Oryzias latipes: one gene and its partners. The protein of the gene in region 3 purifies or fractionates together with the protein of the main gene of each other region. This does not show direct contact. Links are inferred from orthologs where the notes say so. Each region holds a gene or a part of one and is shown on either strand. Other genes may lie near its edges. The genes, in order: protein lin-28 homolog A, kpna3, ncbp1, thoc2, ncl, kpna4 and upf1.

The links.
Region 1: the proteins of ncbp1 (region 3) and protein lin-28 homolog A purify together in Homo sapiens (affinity purification with mass spectrometry; 3 studies listed by BioGRID and IntAct, with this or other methods). This does not show direct contact. The link is inferred for Oryzias latipes from reciprocal best matches to the Homo sapiens genes NCBP1 and LIN28A.
Region 2: the proteins of ncbp1 (region 3) and kpna3 purify together in Homo sapiens (co-immunoprecipitation; 3 studies listed by BioGRID and IntAct, with this or other methods). This does not show direct contact. The link is inferred for Oryzias latipes from reciprocal best matches to the Homo sapiens genes NCBP1 and KPNA3.
Region 4: the proteins of ncbp1 (region 3) and thoc2 purify together in Homo sapiens (affinity purification with western blotting; 3 studies listed by BioGRID and IntAct, with this or other methods). This does not show direct contact. The link is inferred for Oryzias latipes from reciprocal best matches to the Homo sapiens genes NCBP1 and THOC2.
Region 5: the proteins of ncbp1 (region 3) and ncl fractionate together in Homo sapiens (co-fractionation; 3 studies listed by BioGRID and IntAct, with this or other methods). This does not show direct contact. The link is inferred for Oryzias latipes from reciprocal best matches to the Homo sapiens genes NCBP1 and NCL.
Region 6: the proteins of ncbp1 (region 3) and kpna4 purify together in Homo sapiens (co-immunoprecipitation; 3 studies listed by BioGRID and IntAct, with this or other methods). This does not show direct contact. The link is inferred for Oryzias latipes from reciprocal best matches to the Homo sapiens genes NCBP1 and KPNA4.
Region 7: the proteins of ncbp1 (region 3) and upf1 purify together in Homo sapiens (co-immunoprecipitation; 3 studies listed by BioGRID and IntAct, with this or other methods). This does not show direct contact. The link is inferred for Oryzias latipes from reciprocal best matches to the Homo sapiens genes NCBP1 and UPF1.

What each region holds. Positions count from the first base shown.
Region 1 is NC_019874.2:22,826,206-22,829,705, reverse strand, and holds part of protein lin-28 homolog A, read left to right. Parts: intron 1-143; coding exon 144-363; 3' UTR 364-3,500. UniProt on the Homo sapiens protein: RNA-binding protein that inhibits processing of pre-let-7 miRNAs and regulates translation of mRNAs that control developmental timing, pluripotency and metabolism.
Region 2 is NC_019879.2:9,666,803-9,670,302, forward strand, and holds part of kpna3 (importin subunit alpha-4), read left to right. Parts: intron 1-965; coding exon 966-1,051; intron 1,052-2,104; coding exon 2,105-2,191; intron 2,192-2,276; coding exon 2,277-2,446; intron 2,447-2,598; coding exon 2,599-2,643; intron 2,644-2,720; coding exon 2,721-2,852; intron 2,853-3,500. UniProt on the Homo sapiens protein: Functions in nuclear protein import as an adapter protein for nuclear receptor KPNB1. Binds specifically and directly to substrates containing either a simple or bipartite NLS motif.
Region 3 is NC_019868.2:27,750,758-27,755,043, forward strand, and holds the start of ncbp1 (nuclear cap-binding protein subunit 1), read left to right. Parts: upstream 1-1,486; coding exon 1,487-1,520; intron 1,521-2,913; coding exon 2,914-3,002; intron 3,003-3,088; coding exon 3,089-3,189; intron 3,190-3,262; coding exon 3,263-3,419; intron 3,420-3,503; coding exon 3,504-3,611; intron 3,612-3,969; coding exon 3,970-4,091; intron 4,092-4,182; coding exon 4,183-4,252; intron 4,253-4,286. Other genes in the region: tstd2 (thiosulfate sulfurtransferase/rhodanese-like domain-containing protein 2), read right to left, coding at 1-41, 971-1,246. UniProt on the Homo sapiens protein: Component of the cap-binding complex (CBC), which binds cotranscriptionally to the 5'-cap of pre-mRNAs and is involved in various processes such as pre-mRNA splicing, translation regulation, nonsense-mediated mRNA decay, RNA-mediated gene silencing (RNAi) by microRNAs (miRNAs) and mRNA export.
Region 4 is NC_019872.2:16,174,152-16,178,078, forward strand, and holds the start of thoc2 (THO complex subunit 2), read right to left. Parts: upstream 2,801-3,927; 5' UTR 2,699-2,800; coding exon 2,634-2,698; intron 112-2,633; coding exon 56-111; intron 1-55. UniProt on the Homo sapiens protein: Component of the THO subcomplex of the TREX complex which is thought to couple mRNA transcription, processing and nuclear export, and which specifically associates with spliced mRNA and not with unspliced pre-mRNA.
Region 5 is NC_019862.2:11,722,694-11,724,918, forward strand, and holds part of ncl (nucleolin), read left to right. Parts: intron 1-75; coding exon 76-159; intron 160-203; exon of another isoform or gene 204-260; intron 261-338; coding exon 339-462; intron 463-907; coding exon 908-1,044; intron 1,045-1,132; coding exon 1,133-1,259; intron 1,260-1,394; coding exon 1,395-1,531; intron 1,532-1,699; coding exon 1,700-1,829; intron 1,830-1,871; exon of another isoform or gene 1,872-2,006; intron 2,007-2,225. UniProt on the Homo sapiens protein: Nucleolin is the major nucleolar protein of growing eukaryotic cells. It is found associated with intranucleolar chromatin and pre-ribosomal particles. It induces chromatin decondensation by binding to histone H1.
Region 6 is NC_019871.2:13,515,352-13,518,851, reverse strand, and holds part of kpna4 (importin subunit alpha-3), read left to right. Parts: intron 1-1,228; coding exon 1,229-1,273; intron 1,274-1,385; coding exon 1,386-1,517; intron 1,518-1,874; coding exon 1,875-2,003; intron 2,004-2,601; coding exon 2,602-2,706; intron 2,707-2,781; coding exon 2,782-2,853; intron 2,854-3,044; coding exon 3,045-3,207; intron 3,208-3,301; coding exon 3,302-3,396; intron 3,397-3,500. UniProt on the Homo sapiens protein: Functions in nuclear protein import as an adapter protein for nuclear receptor KPNB1. Binds specifically and directly to substrates containing either a simple or bipartite NLS motif.
Region 7 is NC_019862.2:13,859,683-13,862,075, forward strand, and holds part of upf1 (regulator of nonsense transcripts 1), read left to right. Parts: coding exon 1-67; intron 68-382; coding exon 383-464; intron 465-558; coding exon 559-723; intron 724-1,036; coding exon 1,037-1,257; intron 1,258-1,377; coding exon 1,378-1,497; 3' UTR 1,498-1,500; intron 1,501-1,693; exon of another isoform or gene 1,694-1,805; 3' UTR 1,806-2,393. UniProt on the Homo sapiens protein: RNA-dependent helicase required for nonsense-mediated decay (NMD) of aberrant mRNAs containing premature stop codons and modulates the expression level of normal mRNAs.

The DNA of each region.
Region 1 (3,500 bases), on a different chromosome or scaffold from region 3:
ATAAAGTTTTTTGATTAAAATATTGTGATTTTTTTTCTTGTGTCTCCAAAGAAAACACGTATTTGAGTGCCAAAAAACACTCAAAAACACCATACATTTAAATCTGTTTGTGTAGAAAATGATCAAACACTTTTGCTGTTTAGGTGCTACAACTGTGGAGGTCTGGACCACCATGCCAAAGAGTGTAAGTTGCCACCTCAGCCCAAGAAGTGCCATTTCTGCCAGAGCATCGATCACATGGTCGCCAGCTGCCCAATCAAAGCACAACAGTCCTCACCAAGCTCTCAGGGAAAACCGTCTCCCTTGAAAGGAGACGAGGGAGGTTACAGCCACCCGGCACCGCCTCCCGAGACGTCAGATTAAACTAAAGGTCGGGCCTCGATGAAGCACAGAAGCCAATCAAATTGCTTCGACGGCGAGGAAGGACACACGATTCCTTCCCAGCTGCTGAAGCTGCTTTTGGATTTACCTCAGGTTAAAAAAAAAATACTCATGAAGAATGTTTTTTTCCAACTGGTGTAACACTCAGGAAGACTTCTGTACAATTGCACTCGCAAAGCTTGCTAGATGAACGAATCACTGCTGTTAGAGGGAAAAAAAACACTTTGGTTTTTCACGGGTTTTCACAGGTTCTGTGAAAAAAAGAGCCTTTTCTCGAGGCTCTCAAACACCCGCAATATATGCATAAGACTCCGCGTGGTTAGAATAGATTGATGCTTTTGCTGCCTTACAATTTCATCTCTTTCCTGACTTTTACACCACATGTAATAGTTAGTTGCTCTGTAATGAATGTTAGTGTGCATATCACACACTGGGAGGGTTCATGACAGAATAGGGGGAAAAAAAAACTTTTGATGGGTTTAAGGGTATAGCTATTGGCAATGAAATGGTATTTTCAAAATTGCAGTTGACCATCCAGTTTTCCTGGGGCCAAATGAATGTCAGACCAAAAGTTGTTTTCAGGTTTTGGTCAGTTATATATATATATGTTTCGTTGATTATTTTTTCTTTGTCATTCATCTTTTAGCTGGCTAGTCTGGTCTACCTCACTGGTGCATGTTTGCTCTATTATCCTCACTGCTTACAATCACCAGAAATTCTCAGACTAGGGCTTTGGAGAGTGGAGATTGTATGTTAGGGTTAAATCAAATCCCTTTTGCACTACAGTATTTACACTCAGTCGACATGATATGGGATATTTTGGAATTGCAGTGATGACCGCCTCGTGTTGCTCCGCAGGTGCTGGCTTTGTGTCGACTTAAGGTACAGCTATTAATGTGAAAAGACGACAGCTGTGCAGATTTTCAGTCTGTTTGGGAGAAAGAGGAAAATGGAAGCATTATATAATATTTAGAGATCTTAATCTCTTTGTCTCCTCAGCTGCAGGTCAACATGAAAAGACTACACTTTTCACCATCTTTATGAAGTGTGTCACAACGCTTTTAACCACTAACCGCTAACTTCACAGAAGGTGGTCAGTTGTACTGTTTGAAGTGGCGCTGCAATTTAGTTTCACAATTGCTCAGAGTCTATAGTTTTAAACCATCAGCCATCAGCAGGTAAAGAAAGACACAATCAGACCCAAAGATGGCAGCATAACGCTCCGTTTCGGCCACCGTCAGCTGCAAGGTGTCACTTTTTCGTGCCAGATGTGTTAAAGAAAATGCTGCTTTTGAATGACTTGAACATGGATTTGATTAAATCATAACACCACACTTCTGAAAGACTTGACATGGGCTGAAATACTGACGAGTCCTGCTACTTCTCCTCTTGAGGAAAACAACAACGAGGAAGAATCAGACGTTGCGATGCTAGTGAAAAGACTGGCGCTTTAATTTATATCCAGTATGATCGTTTTCTAGGTAGTTATTTAAGACTTTGACCTCCCTATAATCTGCAGAAGGGTGATTGTTCAGGAACACCAAGCCTGCACAGAGTTGCATGTAGGTCTAGCTAGCTAATCAGCATTTTACTCCCGTTTTACAGGAGAAGCTGACGTTACATCCAATTAATATATATGTAAAATTATTCTAAAGCCTTTTTAAAAAGATCATACTACTTATTTATTTTCATTCAAGAGTACTGCAGCTTCACCCTCTGATCCTGTTGAGACCTCTCAGTAATGAAGTTTTGGGCACAGACACCAGAAAACTGCAAAGCCATTTGAATCTGTATTATGATTTTTTTTTATATTTTAGTAACTTTTAACATCCAGGTACTCTCATTGCTTTGTACATATGTGCTTGATTCATGCAATTTTCCTTAATTTAATTAAGTATGAACACATAGTTTTATAACTAGTTAAGAGTAACAATATAAAGAACATGCTGCACACATGGCAAAATGAGGTCTGGTGTTAACTGTGAGGGTTTTTTTTAAATTTGATTTTTATTTGTATTTTATTTTTTTCTTCATGTGAGTGCTTAATGAGCCTTTTAAGACAAAATAGATCATTGTCATCCTTATCTATGCCATATCCAATGCAATGTCACTGCACTAATCATGTGTAAGATGCATCAATTTGTTTTATCTATATGTAAATATTTCAGTTTATTTTATATTTTTGAATATATATCTTGATTTTTATATACTTTTTATTTTCAATTCCAATTTGTTGCGGGAGAAAAATAATCTACTACGGTGATTATCTCAGGAATTAATAAACTGAAACTCAGGGAGCCCTTCAGATTGACTGGAAGGAGTCACAGAGTCTTAGTGTATGACAAAGCAGGGATCCAAATGCTCATCCTCATGATGTGAAAAGAAGGCCAGAGAAGGTGCAGTTTGTTTGTATTCTTTTATTTTTTCCCCCTTTATTTACTGGACTTTCATTAGAAAACTGTGAAGGTTTGGGTCACAGAAGCAACGGCTGCAATTGACAACAGTAAATGTTCAGGTCTTTTGATTCATCCTTCCATACAATGCTTTTCTGTATTCTTTCTCACAATATAAAAAAAAAGTATTTCATTACTATTGTATTTTTTCCTCTGTAATCGTTGTAGATGGGGATGTCGTAGAAGATTGTAAAGGGACTGGGGCTTGTAGTATTTAATCATCGTCTCCTCTCAAACTTTTGATACTTGGTGTTCCAGACTATCAGTGCTTGTGACAAGGAGAATGTCACGAATGATTGACACGCATACTATTCCATACTTCGATGCAAGGTGATGCCTTGTATAAATTCTGGCGTTTTAGAGAATCAAACTCTGTTTTGATGATTCTACTCAGGTTTTTCAAAGAAATGAGAAAGTGCCGTCGTAAAGCCAGCTTACTTTTCAGGGCAGTTTTTTTTATCCATTATGTCAAGTGCCAACATATCCTCTAATATGAGCAAATTATTTTTATCATATTATTAAAAAAGAAAATAAAGGGACACGCAAAAATCAAAAACTTTTTAAAAATCATTAATTATTTGTGCCATTTGTCAAACTCTACTAGGAACTTTTGGGAGGCCACTGTTTGGATCAAAGTGTTATAATGTCTGCAATATTTTGCTCTAC
Region 2 (3,500 bases), on a different chromosome or scaffold from region 3:
CTTGGTTTATCCTGCAAGTCCACATGTGAGCGTGTGCGGTGGCATGCAGAGCAGCTGGCTGCTTCTCTTAGCTTCAGCCAATCCAAATAGATCGGCATTCCTCTCTCCTACATTTCACTGAATTCCCAGGACCTTGGGTTCACCGAGGGCCACAGACTGAAAAGCTTGGGCTGCTTTTATGGAAGAAATGGTTGGGCTTTTATTGACGATGGCATCCTTTAGAAGTTGATGATTTTCTTGAAAGGAGCTAGTTCTTGTTTTGAACATCTAGAATTTAGACAAGAAATCTGTCAGATCTGTTCTGTAAAGAAAGAAAGAACTTTAAATGGAACATTATATGGTTAAAAAGGAATAAAAAAAAAACAGAATTTCTAGCAATGTTGAAAACAGAAAACCACATAGGTTAGCAGTCTTTTATTTATTTATTTATTTTAACTGTTGTGTGACATCCAGGCTAAACTGTCTTAACAATTCTCAATTTGGGGTTTTAGAGTTTAATTTTAAAGGGGAATTCATATTTACCGGTAACTTTGAGTGTTTTTCATGAAAGGTTTAGACGTACACTCTGAAATGTATGACCAAATAATGATAAAAGGTAGAGGACCTTGTAAACTGAATTGACAGACGATGTAAATGATGGCTAACTGTTCTACATCAGACTATTATCTTTATGCCTTTTTAAGGAACAGCATCTGCAAATGTGTGACTTTGTTGAACACATGAATCCTTTTATAGTACACATTGATTTGAAACATTTTATGCTTTTTTTAAAAATTCAAAATCAGCATAAAATTGTCAGAAAATAAAAGTAGGAGACAAAACTGAGCCTAATCAGTTTTTAACATGGTGGACGCCATTTTTATCTTTTCTAGTTTGACATATTTTTGCTTCGTTTGTTTGTTGTCATGGAAACCAGTGTTTTCATTTCTCGTGCTGATTTGTTTTCTTTCTCTTTCACCACGTAGCCCTTCTTTACAGTTCGAGGCAGCTTGGGCTCTGACCAACATCGCCTCTGGGACGTCGGCACAGACTCAAGCTGTGGTTAAATCCAGTAAGTCGACCCCATACGCCGTCCTCCACATGCTTCCCCGTCTGTCTGGGTCTGGACGCCGTCTGCATGGTCGTCTTCTACTAGTTCAGCAAATCCCAGTCAGCTATTCTTCAGTGTCTCATTTTGCACTAGACTATAGACTACCGTACTGTTTAGGCCTTTAGCAAGAAGTAGTATACTTGAAGTTTATTTTATGATGTATTCTTGAATTTAAGTATATGTAGTGTAGGAAGTATACTCACTGAATACTTATTCCGACTAAATTGGAACATTTTAAGTTTACAATATATAAATAGTGTATATTAAGAAAACTTCAAGTATACTACCTCACTTTTAATACAGACTACGTATACTTGTAGTACACTTAAACAGACTACTTTTGTTTAGTGATGACAGCTCTTTAGGATGCAAAAAACAAATGTATTGACTTACTGTTAAGCAATTCATCTTTCATCTTATTTTGTTTGTCTCAAAGTTCACTTACATTTGATGTTGTTGTAATAAGTAAATAAAAATAGCATTTTCTTTTTTACCTGTTAACTTATTGATGAAAATAAGTCATCTATCAACCATTTGTTGACCAGAACCTTTATTTTTATTTGTGAAACTTAAATTGTGGATACATTAATATCATGTCTAAAACTGAATTCCGACACAAAAAAGACATGAAGTCACAAATGGATGAATGCTCGGGATAGCAAAATCCATGCTGTAAAAAACTATAAATGCAGACACAATTGAGGCAAAGACCTGAATAGATTTGATTAATTGTTTAGCTTCTTCTTTTTTTTGGGGGGGGAAACAGAAGAATAATCTTTAAATGTGAACACCATGACGCTGGTCAGCACTTGGGCATCAAAGGAAACCAGGTGGACTGCTTTACTGGCATTCTTTTCATCAACTTTCCACTTTAAAGTGAAATCAAAGGTGTTTCTTGATGCTACTGCCTGTGCGGGGTGTTAAGCTGCTCCACCAACGCAGCAGCTTTATCTTCATGTGTTGGTAACGTCACGTCATATTAGGTTTTTTGATCGTTGACGCTTGCTGACCCAGATGCAGTGCCGCTGTTCCTGCGCCTTCTACACTCTCCTCACCAGAACGTGTGTGAACAGGCAGTATGGGCTCTAGGAAATATTATAGGTAAGTGCTTTCCTGTGGTAAAGGTGTGTACCAACATTTGACATTGTCCAGCGCAATGTTGACATGCCACCTGTCGTATGGTCAGGCGATGGGCCACAGTGCAGGGATTATGTCATCTCCTTGGGTGTGGTGAAGCCGCTGCTCTCTTTCATCAGTCCATCAATCCCCATTACTTTCCTCCGTAATGTTACCTGGGTTATTGTTAACCTCTGTCGCAACAAGGATCCTCCCCCACCAATGGAGACTGTGCAAGAGGTGGGTGTGTCTGGACCTGATTACATGCTTTTGTGCTTCAAATCAGCCTCATCACCTTAGAAAGTCTTTTACTTTGAAGGCCTGTTTGTTCATCTAATGAGATGGCTACAACTCATCTACTCGAGATCTTTCGTTCTTGTTTTTTCCTACAGATTCTGCCGGCACTCTGTATGCTCATATATCACACTGACTTAAATGTGAGTATCCAATTGGCATCGCTGCTCATTTCCTGGTTTAATCAGTCACCTTTGTAACACAAACTTGCTGGTTTTAGATCCTCGTAGACACAGTGTGGGCTCTGTCTTATCTGACGGATGGAGGCAACGAGCAGATCCAGATGGTTATAGATTCTGGGGTCGTTCCATTTCTCGTGCCTCTCCTCAGCCATCAGGAGGTGAAAGTTCAGGTGAGATGAAATTTTGTCGAAGGTGTCGATCAGCCATTATGTACATGAAGTGGTCAAAAAGAGGGCTCTCTAACCTTTTATAGGCCAAGGACCGGGTTAATAATAATTTAATTTCCCAGACTTTCCTGTATAAGGCTGAAGTCCAATTTTCTGTTTTTAAAGCTTTCAGTTTCCCTTAACTTTTGAGGGTAAAGTTTATCTTCATACTCTGTAAAATATCTGCAGCTGGTTTAAACCTTTCCTCGAGATTACATATAGGAACCATTCAAATGTGATATAGATTTTCCATTAGTGAAGCCCGTTGAGACAACTGTGTTGTAATATTGGGCTATATAAATAAAACTGAAATGAACTGAACTGAATTAACCCAAAACTGTCATAGTGGAAGCTAAATAATCAGACGCCAACCTCAGCCTTGCGACAGATAAATACAAAACAAAGCGGTCACTAAAACTGACATTTTATAGATAAATGGGAATCTTCGTTTCATTAGACAGCCAGTGCCTGAATATGACACATAATTAATGTTATGATGCCATTTTGTAGTGCTGTCCCAATCTACAATTCCAAAATCGAGTGCCCTAGAAATTTCCCAGAAGTCTTAGCCAAAAACCAGGGTGCAACGCTGCTCACTAAATTGGCAAATAC
Region 3 (4,286 bases):
TCTGCACTGCAGATCTTTGAAGCCACAAACGAGGCAAAAGACTGAAAAGGAAAAAGAATCAAAGCATTTACCTCAATCAAGCAAATGTATTCTGTTTCAAATACTTCCAGAAATATATGGTTTCCAAAAAAGTTGGACCGACTAAAGGAGTTTCTAAATGTGATGTCTTGAATCATCATCATCATCATCATCATCATTGAGGTTCACGTCAATATTTACGTAATGAGCCAAATTTTGGCCTGTCAATACTCTGATCAAGCCTGAAATATATTACATATCTATAAATGATTTAAGCATTGATTTACATCTATTTGGTCCGGTAAACGGTAATAATCTGTTTATGACAAAAACAGGGAAGAATTTTATATGTCTAAAGTGACAATTTAAAAGAAGCAACAAATTTTTTTTTATGTATTTGTTTGTTTGTGACATCAAACACTAAAAAAAAGCCTCTCTGCAAATTTACCAGTTGGCCAAAAGCCCCCCCCCCTCTATTTGTTGTCCCAGGACAGAAGGTAAATGTGCCTCACTAAATATAAAGTAATCATTTAATGAACGCCTGGTGAAAGGTGAGTTTTCAACTGTAAAATGGTCAAATATGTTTTTAACTACAGGATCTATTTCTAAATTGTTGTGCCTTTTTTATGTTGTTTGTTTTGGTGTAAAGCACTTTGTGTTATCATGTTCTAGAATTATATAAATTTTACATAAATAAAGATTGATTAGATTTGATACACAGAAAAACAAAAACAAATACCAAAGATATTCTCTAACTTTCATGTCTTGAATACCTTAGGTAGTAATAATATTACTACCTAGTAGTAATAATATTACTAATATATAAAAGATGCAAACTGCCCAGAATTGGGTCAGAATCAATATTTAGTTTAGATTAGTTTAGTCATTTTTTATTCTGTTTTCAATCATTCTGCGTTGTCTTTGTGGAAAGAGAAGCCAGATATTCTCCTACCTTTCTCCTGCAGAACCTGTAATATTTTCTGTGAGCAGCAGAAATGTGTTTGTTTTGCTTAATTGATCCATGATCAACCATCGACGTGTTGACCTCCCAGTTCAGAAACTCTGAGCAGACTGCTTCACTGGCTGCCATTCTCCTCAACTGGCAAATTAAATGCACGACAAATATGTTTGTGATCGTAAAAAACGCAACTTTGTGATAGAACGCGTAAATACTGACAAAAAGAGAGATATAAGTTCTCAAACGCGGTAAATACCCTTGTATTTCCATGCGAGTGTGCAGCTCACCGGAAGTGGAAGTTCAGCTTCCGGTTGTACCTTGAATGACCCGGATGTCCATCATTTCAATCGCTCCGCTGTTATTTCTCTGTAAGAAGCTGCTGTTGCTGCTGCTGCCGCCTCCGGACTCTGCCGTTCAAAATAAGCAAAGCTTTTCCCGGATCCACCGGTCTGTCCCGCGTTATTTTTTTTACACCGGGTGTCTGCACGCGTGCAGCTCAGGGGGGACAACATGTCCAGGAGGAGACACAGCGACGACAGTGACGGCAAGTCGCGCGCTGCATGTGCGATTCAAACGTTACGGCTAACGCGGCAGCTAGCTACAGCTACCTTGATTATCTGTATGTGCTATAACTTTAAAGGAATGCAACGATAGCAGGCGTTGCCCCAATATCAAGTATTTTTTTAAAGCTACTAAATAAATTAGGGGATTTTAAAAAATGATTTTTAAGAGATTAAGTTTTACCAGAAAAACCCGGTTCCGTTAGTTAGCTACTTTAGCTAACGCTAACGGCCAGATTTATGTTTTATAACGGTTTCTGGCACACAAAACACATTTAATGTTTGTAAAGACTGGCGTAAGTGTTGAAAGAGACACTTTTTCTGTGGGTTCATCATCATGCGCATGGAAACGTGATGTTACAGCCCTGTGGATTTTGTGATTTATAAAGGAACATTCACAACCAAAGTGTCTCACGGTTCCACACTAAAAAAATATCAGACCTAACAATATTTTTATATAATGTAGGATTAGTTTAGTATGTATTTGTCATTGTATGTATAAATGACTTCTATTGGCTTCCATTGAGTGTTTACCTTTCATTCAGAGATTTCAGTAAGGAGAGAATCAGCAAGGCAAGTTTATTTCTTAAGCACATTTTATGTACAAAGGCAATTCAAGGTCCTTTACATAAAACACTAAAAGAAAAATTTAACAGAAATATTAAAGGAGTTATCACCAAAATAAAAATTTAAAGAACTGAAGTAAATACCAACCTGCATTTAAATAAACTGAGTGTTTCAGCTGATCCAAGGCTTAATTCTGGTAGTCTGTTCCAGATCTACAGAGCATAGAAGCTGAATGCAGCTTCTTCGTGTTTGATTTCGACTCTAGGTACTGACGAAAGAGCAGATCCAGATTACCGGACAGGTCAGAACTGGACTGATGTGGTCTAATATTTGGCTCCTTTGAAGGACCCGAGCAGCAGAGTTCTGAATACGCTGCCGTATCGTCCAGCAAAAACACTGGAACAGTAGTCAAGTCGACTAAAGATCGACTTAACACATAAACAAGTTTGGCCAAGTCCTGCTTAGACATCAGATCTTTATTTTAACCAGATGAAATTATCTCAAAGCGATGTTAAAAAGATGGGTTTTGTGCTTCTTCTGAAAAATCTCTACGGTCTCTGAGGCTCTCCGGCAGGCTGACGTCCAACTGTTTGTCTTTAGCCCTAGACACAATATTCTCCATTTTTCTTCTGTTTACCTAAAGTATATAGGAGGAAACCTCCAGTAAAGTCAGATGGAGTATGTGTGACTGTCGAAACACTAGATTTTATGAGACGAATACACTATTTTCCCCCCAAAACGTAGATTTGTTTTTCTGTCTTCAGTGTCCTCTCAGGTCAGAGGTTTAAGTTCTGTCCTTTTCATTTTTAGGAGGTCAAGCCCACAAAAGGAGGAGAACATCAGAGCCTATTGAGATTGAAGACCGCCTGGAGTCGCTGATATGTCGCGTTGGAGAAAAAGTACGATGGCCGTTTTGTCATAAAGCCATATATTTACTATTTAAATAATTTGCAATAACTAAAGTCCGTCTTTGATCTTTTAAAAGAGTACATCGTCCCTCGAGAGCAACCTGGAGGGGCTCGCAGGGGTTTTGGAGGCGGACCTTCCAAACTACAAAAACAAAATCCTGCGTATTTTATGTGCAGTGTAAGTTGTCCGCAGTTCTCCTCATTCTCAAGCGTAACAAACGGTCCGTTTTCACAAACGCGTCTTTCGACAGAGCCCGCCTCCTGCCGGAGAAGCTGACAGTCTACACGACGTTAGTCGGCCTCCTGAACGCCAGGAACTACAACTTTGGGGGAGAGTTTGTGGAGGCCATGATCCGGCAGCTGAAGGAGACGCTGAAAAACAACTTCTACAACGAAGCCGTTTACTTGGTCTGTTGATGTTCAATGTCTAAACTCGCAGCTGCTGCAGCGCCTTTTGCTCTCGGCATCGTTTAAGTTCTCTGCTCTCTTCAGGTGCGCTTTCTGTCAGACTTGGTCAACTGTCACGTGATCGCTGCCCCTTCCATGGTAGCCATGTTTGAAAACTTCATCAGTGTTACTCAGGAAGAAGATGTGCCACAGGTTTGTTTCTGCACGGCCTCACCTGGAATATTTGTTTGCATCAGAAGTTTCAGTTTATGAACATCCCGTTCTTTTTTTACTTAATGTCACATTTAAGGCGCCTCCTTTTGTTTTACTGCAACGTCTGAGTTTCCCCATTTCAAATTCAGCAAACTCCTTTATTTTTGTATCATCTGATGTTCTCAATGACGACTCAAAATTCCATGACTTGGTTTTGGGAGAACTGCAGTCCAATCAAAAATAAAAATGATTGTTTTCTGTGTAAAAATAGTTTTAGATTTATACAAAAACGATTTTTCAGCTTCTCAATTTGACTTGAAGATGAAGATCAGTAAGCGTGAGACCCTTTTGGCTCCAGGTTCGGTTGGACTGGTTCGTGTACGTGGTTCTGTCCTGCCTGCCGTGGGTCGGCAAGGAACTTTATGAGAAGAAGGACGTGGAGATGGACCGACTCCTGAGCCAGATCGAAGGCTACCTCAAGTGAGACGCGGCCTCTTTTCTGGAGCATCTTTTGCTTTCCATTGAAGCTGTTGTTGGACTGACTCCAGCGCTCTGCTGTGTTCCTGGACAGGAGGAGGGTGAAGACTCACGTCCCCATGCTGCAGGTGTGGACCGCTGAGAAACCACATCCACAGGAAGAGGTGAGCCTTTTGGACAAGCAGGTTTTGAAACGCA
Region 4 (3,927 bases), on a different chromosome or scaffold from region 3:
ATACAAATGGCCAAATTCAGACATGCAGACAAGAAACAAGCCAGGCTGAACTTACCTCTAATTTCACTTCCATGATCACTTTTCTCTGTAAGGTCTTTGCAGAGTTGTATGCTATCAAGAAAAAAAAAAACAACAACAAATCTTTAGTAATCTAGAACATGGAAAAGAAATCCTGGAAAAAGCGAAAGAACTTCACTCTGAGTGATGGGATGAATAGACAGAAACGTAGTTGAAAACCAGCTTTGAAATGAGTTTTGATACATAATAGTAAAAGGCGAATACAGTTTATTAAAGGGCCTATACCACCTATTCTTAAGCCTTTTATAGCAAACAACGTCCATGTATGTGATAATATTTTACCTTTGTCATAAAAAAGAACAATTTTTTAATGAAATATTAGTTATTTTCCTGAGGTCGTTAACAACTGGGAAGTAAGACTACTCGATCTCTGAGGCACATGTGGGCGTTTCATGATGTCAACCTAGAGACGGCCTCGCAGCACGTCTGCGTCTAGCTCACAAAATTAACCAACATCCAAACTTTTGCAAAGATGGATGTGCATATTATGCATATAAAATGAAGATTTGCCAATCACCCTTAGCTCCACGGAGAAGTGTGTATGTGCGTTAGTCTGGGGCTGGGAGCGCAGATTCTTCCTGGAAGGGGCTATTCTTCACTTTTCTACGTCACAATGTGAGAACCCACTCATTTTCATGGGTGGGCAGGGGCTGGTGCTCAGAGTGCAGGTTTTTAAAGGAATACTCATATGTGTTAACGGATCACAAATACAGCTTTGGGGTTTCTTTCCGTGAGGAATGAACATTAAAATACACAAAAAAAAAATATTTTGCATGGTAAAGGCCCCAATGTGCTTTATAGTCCGATTCACACACACTGACGGTGGAGACGTCTTGCCAACCGCCAAACAGACCACCAGGAACAATATGGGGTAAGGTGTATTATCCAAGGACATTTTGACACATGGGCAGGCATGGGGGGAATCAAACCTGCAACCTTTTGATCAGAGGTCCACTGTTCTACCTCTGGGCCACAGATGCAATTTGAATCCAATTGTAAACCGCATTGTGTTGAGTAGATTGAAACCACAATCACTGATTCTGCATGTTTTAAACGACTTTCTACAAAACTGTGCCGTATTCTGTTTACTTTTACTTCAGATTATATTTTACCATTTCCAGAGCCCAAAAGCATTAAAAAGAAGAAAAGGGGGCTGAAATTTTCTAGATTCAAAAAAAGTGCAAGCTTTTAATTTTAATATATAAAAAAGTAAACATACTTTGAAACAAATATCTTACTTGCTTAAACCAGATGTCAGATAATTTGCTACAGAGTGGACATTAGTTAGTTTAAAGCAAGTTGAATTTGGTGAAAACACTAAATGACATTTAGTGAAACTTTAAACGGCATCTTGTGACAACCCAGAAACTTTCTTCTAATACCCTTTATCAGCTCCAAGCAGAGAAGCTAGTGCCTAAGTGTAAAGTGCAGGCTTTTTCCAGCCTGTGGGCCTATGCAGACTGAAGAACAGCTAACACTATGGGTGTGAGCCTAGAGTGCAAGTCTGTGTCTCGTGTGCGCGGACTAATTAAATAAACACATCATTCCCGTTTTGCTAAAGATTTCATTTGATTTATTACCCTATCTATTGTCCAATTCTTAACGTGTAGGGGCCTTTGTTGTTGCTGTGGTAAACACGATGGCCACGGTAACGGTGATATGTAAAATGGATGACTCTTATAAGCATGTAATCTGCTGGTACTATTCCTTAAAACGGATCCTAACTTTTAAGCTTTTATTTAACAAGAAAATAATAGCCCGCTGTGTTAACTAGCGCAAAACCTAGCTTAATTTCAGATTAGCTAACATCAAAGTTGTAAAGTTAGCCGCAGCATCTAAATTCAGAGACTGCATCTATTCAGGATTAATAATCAACATATACATTTACAATTGTCACGTGTATTTAAAGAGAAAACATAATAACACACTTTCCCTTCCCAATGTCATGGATTTCTGAATAAAATATATAAGAAACCAAAAAAAGGTGGCCGATATACGATAACACAACCAACACTGGAGCTAGCTAAACTTGATGCAACGTTGTTGTAAAATCCCTCGTTTCCCTCCACTTGATCAAGTATATCTAACAAGCAAGTCCCCAAACGTAATGCTGAAAATTGATTTATATACGTCTGTTATAAAGATGAGCAGTTATAAAGCTCTTTCCCCCGTCACTGATTATTTGGCTGGCTAACACGATGAGACGTGTTAGCTGAATGTATTCCAACTAGCTTAGCTTTGATAGCCGTAATGTTCGCAAAAACAGTTTGAACATCATCATGGTTTTCTCACAGGAAACGTAAACTAACAGACTTGAGCTTGTAGTGTTTTCTTTAACCTTTTACAGCTTAGCGTCAAGCGTTGCAGATGTGTATTTACAAGAGTTTAAAGTTAGCCGCACAAGCATTTTAACGTTGTTGCTAACACAGCTATGGCTAACACGGCTGAAGGACTGTCCTTCGCTTGTTGAAATGCTAGCTACTTCAATTTTGTTTTGTAAACACAAAGAAACGGCGCAATGCCGAGGACCGCATTTAATTAAAACATGTACTCACAACTCGTGTTTTCCAGACTTCTCCCAGTTTTTGATCCATTCACCAGAGATAATAAGTGTCGCCATCTTCCATACACACCGCCCGGATGTCTAGTTCATAATCATGGCACACACAGGGTCAAATGTGGGGATGAGCCGCCGTTGTTAGTGTTGCATGGCGGGATTCTGAGGGTTTGGTGCGGGTATCGGAGGACAGGCGTTATACTTGGGAACGCAGTTAAACATTTTCAACGTATTTTGTGTTGGAAAAAGAATCCAACGCAAATGCATTTTAAGATTACCGGTAATTAGGATAGTGTGAGAAAATAGCAGACCCACCCAAGACTAGCCTAACTGTCGGGATCAACATATATTAATTTCTCTAAAGGATTACCTAGAATTTATTACACGATTTTTCATTGATATATTTCATCTGGTCCTCATCCGATCCCTAAAATGATTCACAATTAAAGTTAACCTCAACTCAATGGTCATATTTGGCCTAAGTAACTTTTCTATAGAAACTAAACCTGATGAAATGCCAAAAGTGGGCTAAATTGTGTCTGAAATATGGCATAAACCAGACTAAATAAAGTAACTTCCTTTAAAAAATAAATAAATAATAGACCAACAATATTACAAACACTATGACAGACATTTCTAAATGAATCTGGAAAAATCAAACTGATTTACAATGGAAAAAATGGCTATGCTTTATTTAAAAATAGCTGGACTCTCATGCCAAAATGATAACACTTTTATAGAGGGTTTATTTGGCATGTGTTACAATATACATACAAAATATAAATGGAATAAGTGGACAAACGGCAAATAAGCACAGATTTAGCAGTTTAAACAAAGCAAACCAAACCAAACAAATCCAAAATGACATGTTGACATGCATTTCTACATGGATCATTGTTATTTGCCTAAGTATCCTTGTCTCGATTGTGCTAATTTTTAAGACTACATCTTCTCTCCAGTTTAATGATCTTTTTAATGAAATTAGCCTTTAATTGATAACAGAAATGAGAATACCATCCCATTATGTTGATTTCTGCTAACCAATTCAACACACAAATAAAAGTAATTCTCATATATCAAAAAGAAAAAAGTCAATACATTCATACTTGTAAATGAGTAAATCAATCTTCAATGAAAACATTTTTTTAAACAATACTTACACAAAGAGTAAAACCTCCAAATTAAAAGAAAAAACAAAAACGCACGGATTACAATATTTTACAGGTTTGAAGTCCTATCTTTTGCAGTTTTCACTATATAGTAGTCTAAAGACATGGGAGACTTTGGGGTCT
Region 5 (2,225 bases), on a different chromosome or scaffold from region 3:
TCGATTTTGCATTGAAAAAAAATTAAACATTTCCTGCATACAACTTTGTACAAAGTCTTTTTTCTGTCTGAACAGAAGCCCCAGCTAAAGCTGCAAAGAGAAAGGCAGATGGAAAGAAAGAACCAGTTCCTGCTAAGAAAGCAAAGTCTGATGGAGAAGGCAAGTACAGACATGTTGGTTTATCATTCTGAAGTTTATTTCTCATGATGATCAACAAGGGACTTAATACTGATGTGTGATGTCACCTTGAATTATTCTGAATATGCTTGGCCTTATTCTGCATTTATTGCTTTCACCCACATTTGGATTGTAAAAACTGTTGTTTTGTGTTTTTCCAGGCTTCTGCTTGTTTGTTGGAAACCTCAACTCCAACAAAGACTTTGACGAAATCAAAGCCTCGCTCAGAAAATTCTTCTCCAAAAACAGTCTAGAGATTGTTGATGTCCGGTTAGGAGGTTCCAAGTAAGTTTAAAAAAAAAACACACACGTCTTGCCCGGACAAGAATGTGTGTTAAAACCTGAGATGTAGGGGTGTTTTCCCCACAGTCATTTGGGAACCTTTGTCCTTTTAAAGGTCTTCCTGGTCATTGCTTCCTTTCATGGCTCACTTGTTTTAACTCAAATAAATATATGGTTACCCCGGTTTCAATTGCATTGCACCACAAGTTTAAGCTTTTTAAGAGTGTTGTTCAAAATGTTTGTTGCTTGCTTCACAATGTGTGATATAGCGATCCTGCAATGATTCATTTTTAGGGGTTGGAGAAGAGCGACTGAATTCAAGACAACTCAAATGTTTTTGTGATCTTAAATAAAGAAATTCACGAGTTCAGCCAAAAACCTTTGATGTTCATTTAAGGTAGATTTAATTTGAGGTCTAATTTTCTAATTTTGCATCTTGCTTCAATAGGAAATTTGGCTACGTTGACTTTGCCTCAGAGGAAGACATGAACAAGGCAATGGAGCTTAATGGCAAGAAATTCATGGGTCAAGAACTAAAGCTGGACAAGGCCCGTCAGAAAGATAACTCACAGGAAGGAAAGAAAGGTAAACATGCACCTTTGCAAAGTTTGTCTGCTAAATGTTTGAAGTCTGTATTATCAGTGTTTTTCTAAAATTGATATTGGTTCTACAGAGAGAGATGCGCGGACCCTTTTTGTTAAAAATCTTCCGTTTTCTGCCACGGTTGATGACCTGAAGGAATTGTTTGAAGATGCGGTTGATGTCCGGTTACCTCAGGGACAAAACGGTTCAAATAGAGGGTAAGAAAAAACTCAATTACAGAAGTCACTTTTATAGTTTGAAATCTTTAAAATAACTTACCAGCCTTATGCCCAATTGTTTCTAGTTATATCTTACCTTGTCCTCATATCAGCTTTTCTGTTTCTTTAATGCAGCATTGCCTACATTGAATTCAAATCTGAAGCTGTCGCAGAGAAGATGATGGAGGAGGCCCAGGGAGCCGATGTGCAAGGGAGGTCCATCATTTTAGACTTTGTTGGAGATAAGAGCCAAAAAGGTGGCAGAATGTCAGGTACTGAGTCCTGTATTGATGATATGTAACTACCCAGAACTGTTAGTAAAATCCTTTAAATATATGTACTCAGTAACTGGTTCAAATGCTCAAACCTTAAAACCTGCTTAGGTGTGATGAAAGTTAATTGGGAATTGAACAATTTCTACCCTTTTTGTTGCCGTTTAGCATCAGGAGGAGTCAACAAAACGTTGGTTGTAAATAATCTGGCCTTCAGTGCCACAGAAGATGTTCTACAGTCTACGTTTGAAAAAGCAGCTTCCATAAGGATTCCTCAAAGGGACGGCAGACCTAAAGGGTAAGTGCTGGAGAAGACGGTTATTGTTTACAATTCTAGAGCACCTTCTCATGAGCTCCTCTCAATCGCATCCATGATTCTGTACGGATTCGCACGAGAAGCAGAGCCAGTGCACAGATCAAAACAGGCTCGCCCTACATGCTTATGGGTGTTGCCCATGTCTGCTGTGCAACAAATATTTTGATTTGATGAATATTTGATAAAATGATAATTTAAGAAAGCTGTTTAAACAGTTGTAATAAAATTGTACCTGTATAAATTATTGTTTTCAATAAAAAATCTTTCTAGTGTTCTCAGTATTTTCAGTAGCTAAATACCAATTGTAATAAATTTGAATGTCAATACTTCATCAATCAGAAGCAGCATTCTGTGTTGCCTGGTAATAATGTTAGTTTT
Region 6 (3,500 bases), on a different chromosome or scaffold from region 3:
AGCCAGATGTCAGCTCAGACGAGGAAAACTGACACACATGCATCTAGAAATGAGTGCATCAGAATGGAGCAGAGGCATCAGAATGGAGCAGAGCAGGGATTTAATGGTCCGTCCAGCATATTTTCTAAGTCACAAATATGCTTTTTCAAAAAGCCTTTTTTTAAGCTACTTCTGATTCACAACAATTTCATCAGAGGGCATCTTAAACCTCTTAAAATGTAGTTGTAACGTTAGATAAGCTAATTCTTTTCTAGGAATTCTGGTACATCGCCTGTACATCCTGGGGGAGGATCCCTCCTTCATGTGGGCTCCCCTGAGGTTTTTTCTTTTTTTCGGAATCAGTTTAGTTTTTACTTACTGCGAAGGTCTATGTGTAGGGATGCCCAGTTTAGTTTAGTTTAGCCATTACCTATTGAATTGTATGACTTTATGTTCTTAATGATTCATGTTTATTATACAATTGCTGGTATGAGGCCCATTGAGATGACTATTGTTGTAATATTGGGCTATATAAATAAAATTGAATTGAATTAAATGTGTAGACGAACAAACCCCTCCCTCACAGAGATGACACGCGCTGTCATAGTGCACAAAAGCTCCGGTAAACTTGTGGTTAAACCTTTACACTGTAGTTTGAATCAGGCTTGTCGACGATTGTCTGCAGCTGAATATCTGCAGAAAAGTCTTTTTAAAATGATCAACTGTAGAATCATCAGATCATACTGCAAAAGACCAAAGACATCTGGACTTGCAAACCTATTTGAACATGCCTCAAGGTTACTTCTGTAATGAACACCGTTATCTATGTTAACTCCCTATTCACGGCTGGATTATTAGAGAATTCAGTTGTATCTTCATCATTTAATCATAATTGATCACTGAAAAGAAGAAAGGAAATATGAATAACTACATTCAGCTGTTTTTGGTCTTCCTTTGCCATAAGGTAATTGTAGGTGGGAGTCTTCTTTTCTCTCAATTCCAGCCCTTCTAGATTGTGTCCTGAATTTGAGAATGAGCGTTGCAAAGGGATTACGCTTTGATGTCTCATCCGTCTGAACCAGTGAAAGCAGAGAAAATGGTGTTTAAAGGATGAGTAGGGTGTTGAAACTGCAGGCCGTAGTACAGGATAAGAATAGATTTTTCTGGAGATGTGAGGACTTTAAATATAATCTGTTATTCACTGTCTTTATCCATCCCTACACTTTGTAATGTGTTTTTATTTTCTCAGATCCTGCCAGCTCTCTGTGTGCTGATTCATCACACTGATGTCAGTGTAAGTATAACAGGCTGTGCTGTTCTGTCCTCACTGGTTTGGAGGTGACAGCATTTGCCTAAACATGGTTTTAAAAAACGTTTCCTTTATTTCTTTTCTTTACCGCTTCTAGATCTTGGTGGACACCGTGTGGGCTTTGTCTTACCTGACTGATGCTGGAAATGAGCAGATCCAAATGGTCATCGACTCAGGCATTGTCCCTCATCTGGTACCTCTACTGAGTCACCAAGAGGTCAAAGTTCAGGTGGGAAGAAGAGACTGTCGTTGCTGCTGTCATATATTACTTATTCATTTGGGAAGGTGTCTTTGCTTTTAAACAAAGACTCGGCTTTACTCTGGCTTTTTACACCACCACTAAAAAACTTAACACCAACTTTCCAACTTTTATTAAAAAACACAAAACACTGCGTAGTTAAAACTGCTATCTTATAAACAAACTATAATGGTGTTTGTGTAATTTTGTCTTTAAAATTGTCACATTTCTTCTGAGGATGATCACTTGTGTTATTGAGCACTGCTGCTGCTTTCACATCTAAACTTGTGCAGTTTTCTAGAATTGATGAGTTCATGTTGATGGTTGTGTCATTTCCACCTCATCCAGACTGCTGCCCTCAGGGCCGTTGGGAACATAGTGACCGGCACAGACGAGCAGACGCAGGTAGTGCTCAACTGTGACGCCCTCAGCCACTTCCCAGCACTCCTCACCCACCCAAAAGAGAAAATCAACAAGGTAACGTCTGCTGCAGCTCTGAGTGTCTTAAACTGCTGCACACGCTGTCTGGAAGTGATGAAATCAGAGACGTGGTGTTAGTGTGTGAATGCTGGGTGAAAGATTGGAGGGGGGTTTCATAGAAAACAACAAAGTCTCACCGTGGATGATCGCGAGGATGAAGATGGTTAAAGAAGGCATCGGAGAGTTGTAGGGGATTACTTGGGTTGGGGGTGGTAGGGGTGATGGTGGGGGGTCGATTGTTTGCGTGACTGTGTAATATCATGGGGGTGGTGGAAAGCAGGGTGCTGAATAAGTGTTGATATCGGGGTGCATCTGAGACCAGCCATTCAGAAAAAGAGGCCTGCTCTGTGGCTGGTCGATGATTAGAGCCTCAAATCACCCTCGCCCCACCCACAACACCTTTGTCTCGACCAGATGTCGGCGCCGCTCTGCTGACGTCTGGATTCTGATCCAGTTTAAGAACAAACTGTTTCTGTTGCCTCGCTGTAGTCAGAAAAAAACTGTTTTTTCTTGTGTTGCTTTTTTAAACAAAACGTGGAGGCACATGTGTGATCCCTAAACACGCTCTCTGGTTGCTGCATGTTCTGCCCTGTAGGAGGCAGTGTGGTTCCTGTCCAACATTACAGCAGGGAACCAGCAGCAGGTGCAGGCAGTCATAGATGCCAAGCTGGTCCCCATGATCATCCACCTGCTTGACAAGGTTTGCATGATTTCTAAATGAAATACATATTGTAAAAATTCAGAGTGTGTTGCTGATAGTTTTTCTTTTTTGTAGGGCGACTTTGGCACCCAGAAAGAAGCAGCGTGGGCCATCAGTAACCTGACAATAAGTGGCAGAAAAGATCAGGTGAGAACCTCAGCTTTAGTTTACTTGGACTACTTAATCTGGTATCTATATGCCAGTTTTTACTGGGAAAATGCCAACTGTGATTTGTTTTGTTTTTGCATAAATAAAAGCACAGGTACTCTGATTTTTTGCCTAGTCATTTGTATTTTTTACTTGAATGCATTATTAATGCTCTCTTTCTACAATCATAGGTGGCTCACCTCATTGAGAAACAGGTGATTCCTCCCTTCTGCAACCTGCTCACAGTGAAGGACGCTCAGGTGGTGCAGGTCGTCCTTGATGGTCTCAGCAATATCCTAAAGATGGCTGACGACGAGGCAGAAACTATTGCTAACCTCATTGAGGAATGTGGAGGTGGGTTTCAACGTCTAACACTGAGGTTTCATCCCTTTCCACTCAACAGCTTCTGTGTGCTGCAAATATTTTTTGTCTTTTTTTTTAATCACAGGTTTGGAAAAAGTGGAGCAACTTCAAAATCACGAAAATGAAGATATCTACAAATTGGCTTACGAAATTATTGATCAGTACTTCTCATCTGATGATGTAAGTTGAACCAAACTGAAGAAATGGCTGTAAATGTGTTTTATGTTGGAACTTTTTAGTTTAGAGTTGACTGTCAACACACTGCATGTTTTCCCACTCTGATC
Region 7 (2,393 bases), on a different chromosome or scaffold from region 3:
CAACAACCTCAGAGAGAGCCTCATGCAGTTCAGCAAACCCCGTAAACTTGTCAACACCATCAACCCCGTGAGTACAACCTCCTGCACCACTAATTCCAAGGCAGATCGGACTTTTTCTCAACATGAAAATGACAATCCAGAAAGTAATTTAAAATTCAAAATCAGATTTTGTTCATACTTTTTACTAGAAAAACAAAAAAGCATTACATTTCTTTTTTAAACTTGGCTTTATTTGAACTTTTACACACTTCTTAGGGGACTGAATTTGCCAAAGTCCAGCAAAATTATTTTTTAAGTAATTTTATTATATTTTGAATAAACATAATATATAGATGACTGTTAGTTTAGGCTTTAAAGAACTCCAAACTCTTTGTTTGTTCAGGGGGCTCGTTTTATGAGCACTGCCATGTATGACGCTCGAGAGGCTCTCATCCCTGGATCTGCATACGATCGAAGCAGCACTGGTATTTCTACATCTTTTCACATTTGTAAACATTCAAAAATGATCTCAGCAACTGTTGTCGTTTGTAAACCCCGTGTCTTCAAATGCTCTTTCAGCTGGACGTCCGTCCAACATGTACTTTCAAACACACGACCAGATTGGAATGATTGGGGCGGGCCCAGGTCACATGGCCGCTATGAATATCCCCATACCGTTCAACCTGGTGATGCCCCCAATGCCTCCCCCAAGTTACTTGGGTCAGGCGAACGGCCCTGCTGCAGGTAAACCAACCATTGCCGCTCTGCAGAAGCTATGACCTGCAAAAACAACACAGATTTCTTGATTTTGGCTCAAAAAAGGCCTCAAAAAGACACCTGGGAATGCTTTTAAATGTCTTAAAACATGATCAAAGTGGGACTTTAAATACTCAGATTTGTCGTTTTCTAAATGGAAAGGTGTCCAACCCATGAATAGGGTCACTTAGACCAAAGTTCTTCCCTGTTTTTAATACTTGACATTGGCCAAAATTCATTTATCCTGCTTCTTGTGTTTTGCAAAATGGTTAGAAATGATCCTTCTCCTGTTTTTATGAAGGCCGTGGGGCTATGAAAGGGAAGCCCGGGCGCAGCGGGCGGCAGAGGGTCCGCGGCATCGGGAACCAGGGTCCCGGGCAGGTTAACGGACCAAACAGCCAGGTCAGCCAGGATGGGGCCTCCCAGTCTTTCTCTCAGGGGCCGTTGACCCAGGGCTACATCTCCATAAGCCAGCCCTCTCAGATGAGCCAGCCCGGCCTCTCCCAGCCCGAGCTGTCTCAGGTAACCCATGCAGGGTGTATGCATAATACAGATTTTGCATTTTTTAAAGTAGAATCCTAATTTTTATTCAGTCAAATATGTACAGATCATTGAGGAAGTGTCTGGTCTTCTCCTCTACAGGACAGCTATCTGGGTGATGAGTTCAAGTCCCAAATCGACGTGGCCCTGTCCCAGGACTCGACCTACCAGGGCGAACGTGCGTACCAGCATGGCGGAGTGACCGGACTGTCACAGTACTAAAGTGTAAGTCACAAACTGTATCGGGGCACATTTAATTCTATGTCAAGACAAAACTACTTAGAGTTTACTCCGTTTTCAGCGCAAAGACAACACTTAAGGGTTTAATCCACCTGTAAATCTGCAGAACTTTGTTATGAATGCTTGGCTAAAACCTATAATGCAAAAGACCCCTGATAGTGTGTTTTACATCTGGCAGGTTGGCTGAAGAAGGGAGCTAGGCTGGAGCTGAGCTTAGTTCATCAGCTTTTAAATCTGGGAAAAAATAAAAACATAAAATGGATACCTGTTTTCCTCTGCTACATCCGAAGCACCACCAAGTGAAAGCGACGGGATAGCGAAACCAAACCAATGACCAGCGAGCGAAATAAGAGGGTAGAAGAAGAGAGCACTAACCGATGCGCATGGAGATGGAAGGAGAGGCCGCGTGAACAAGCGAAAGGCAGGAAGCGATGCCCGTGGGTAGTGATGGAAGGAGGTCGAGAAGATGGCGGCGTCTGGTCGGGCTGCTGAGGGAAACGTGAGAGATCAACAGTCTCTGAGAATCCAAAAGAGGTTCAGTCCCAAAGAAAATGATCCATGCAACAATGCCCCCCACACACAGTCCCTGTGAAGGCTTTAGTCCAGTTTACTCGTCGTCCGACGAGAATCGAGGCTTTTCAGCGGAATCTGAAGAATTCTTTCTCCAAACCTGGACAGAAATGTGTGCGGGAAGCTTTCAAGCATTCAGCACAGACAAAAATACAAGTCCCCCATGCTGGATGTGGGTTGTCTGATCAACCCGAACAACGTCCAAGACTCTTAAAATTAGGTTAATCGTGGGAAGTAATGTTCACCCGGGCCCTGACTCCTCGGCAGCCTACGAAGGAAGCAGCGGTCGACAAACCTTCTGAGAGAGG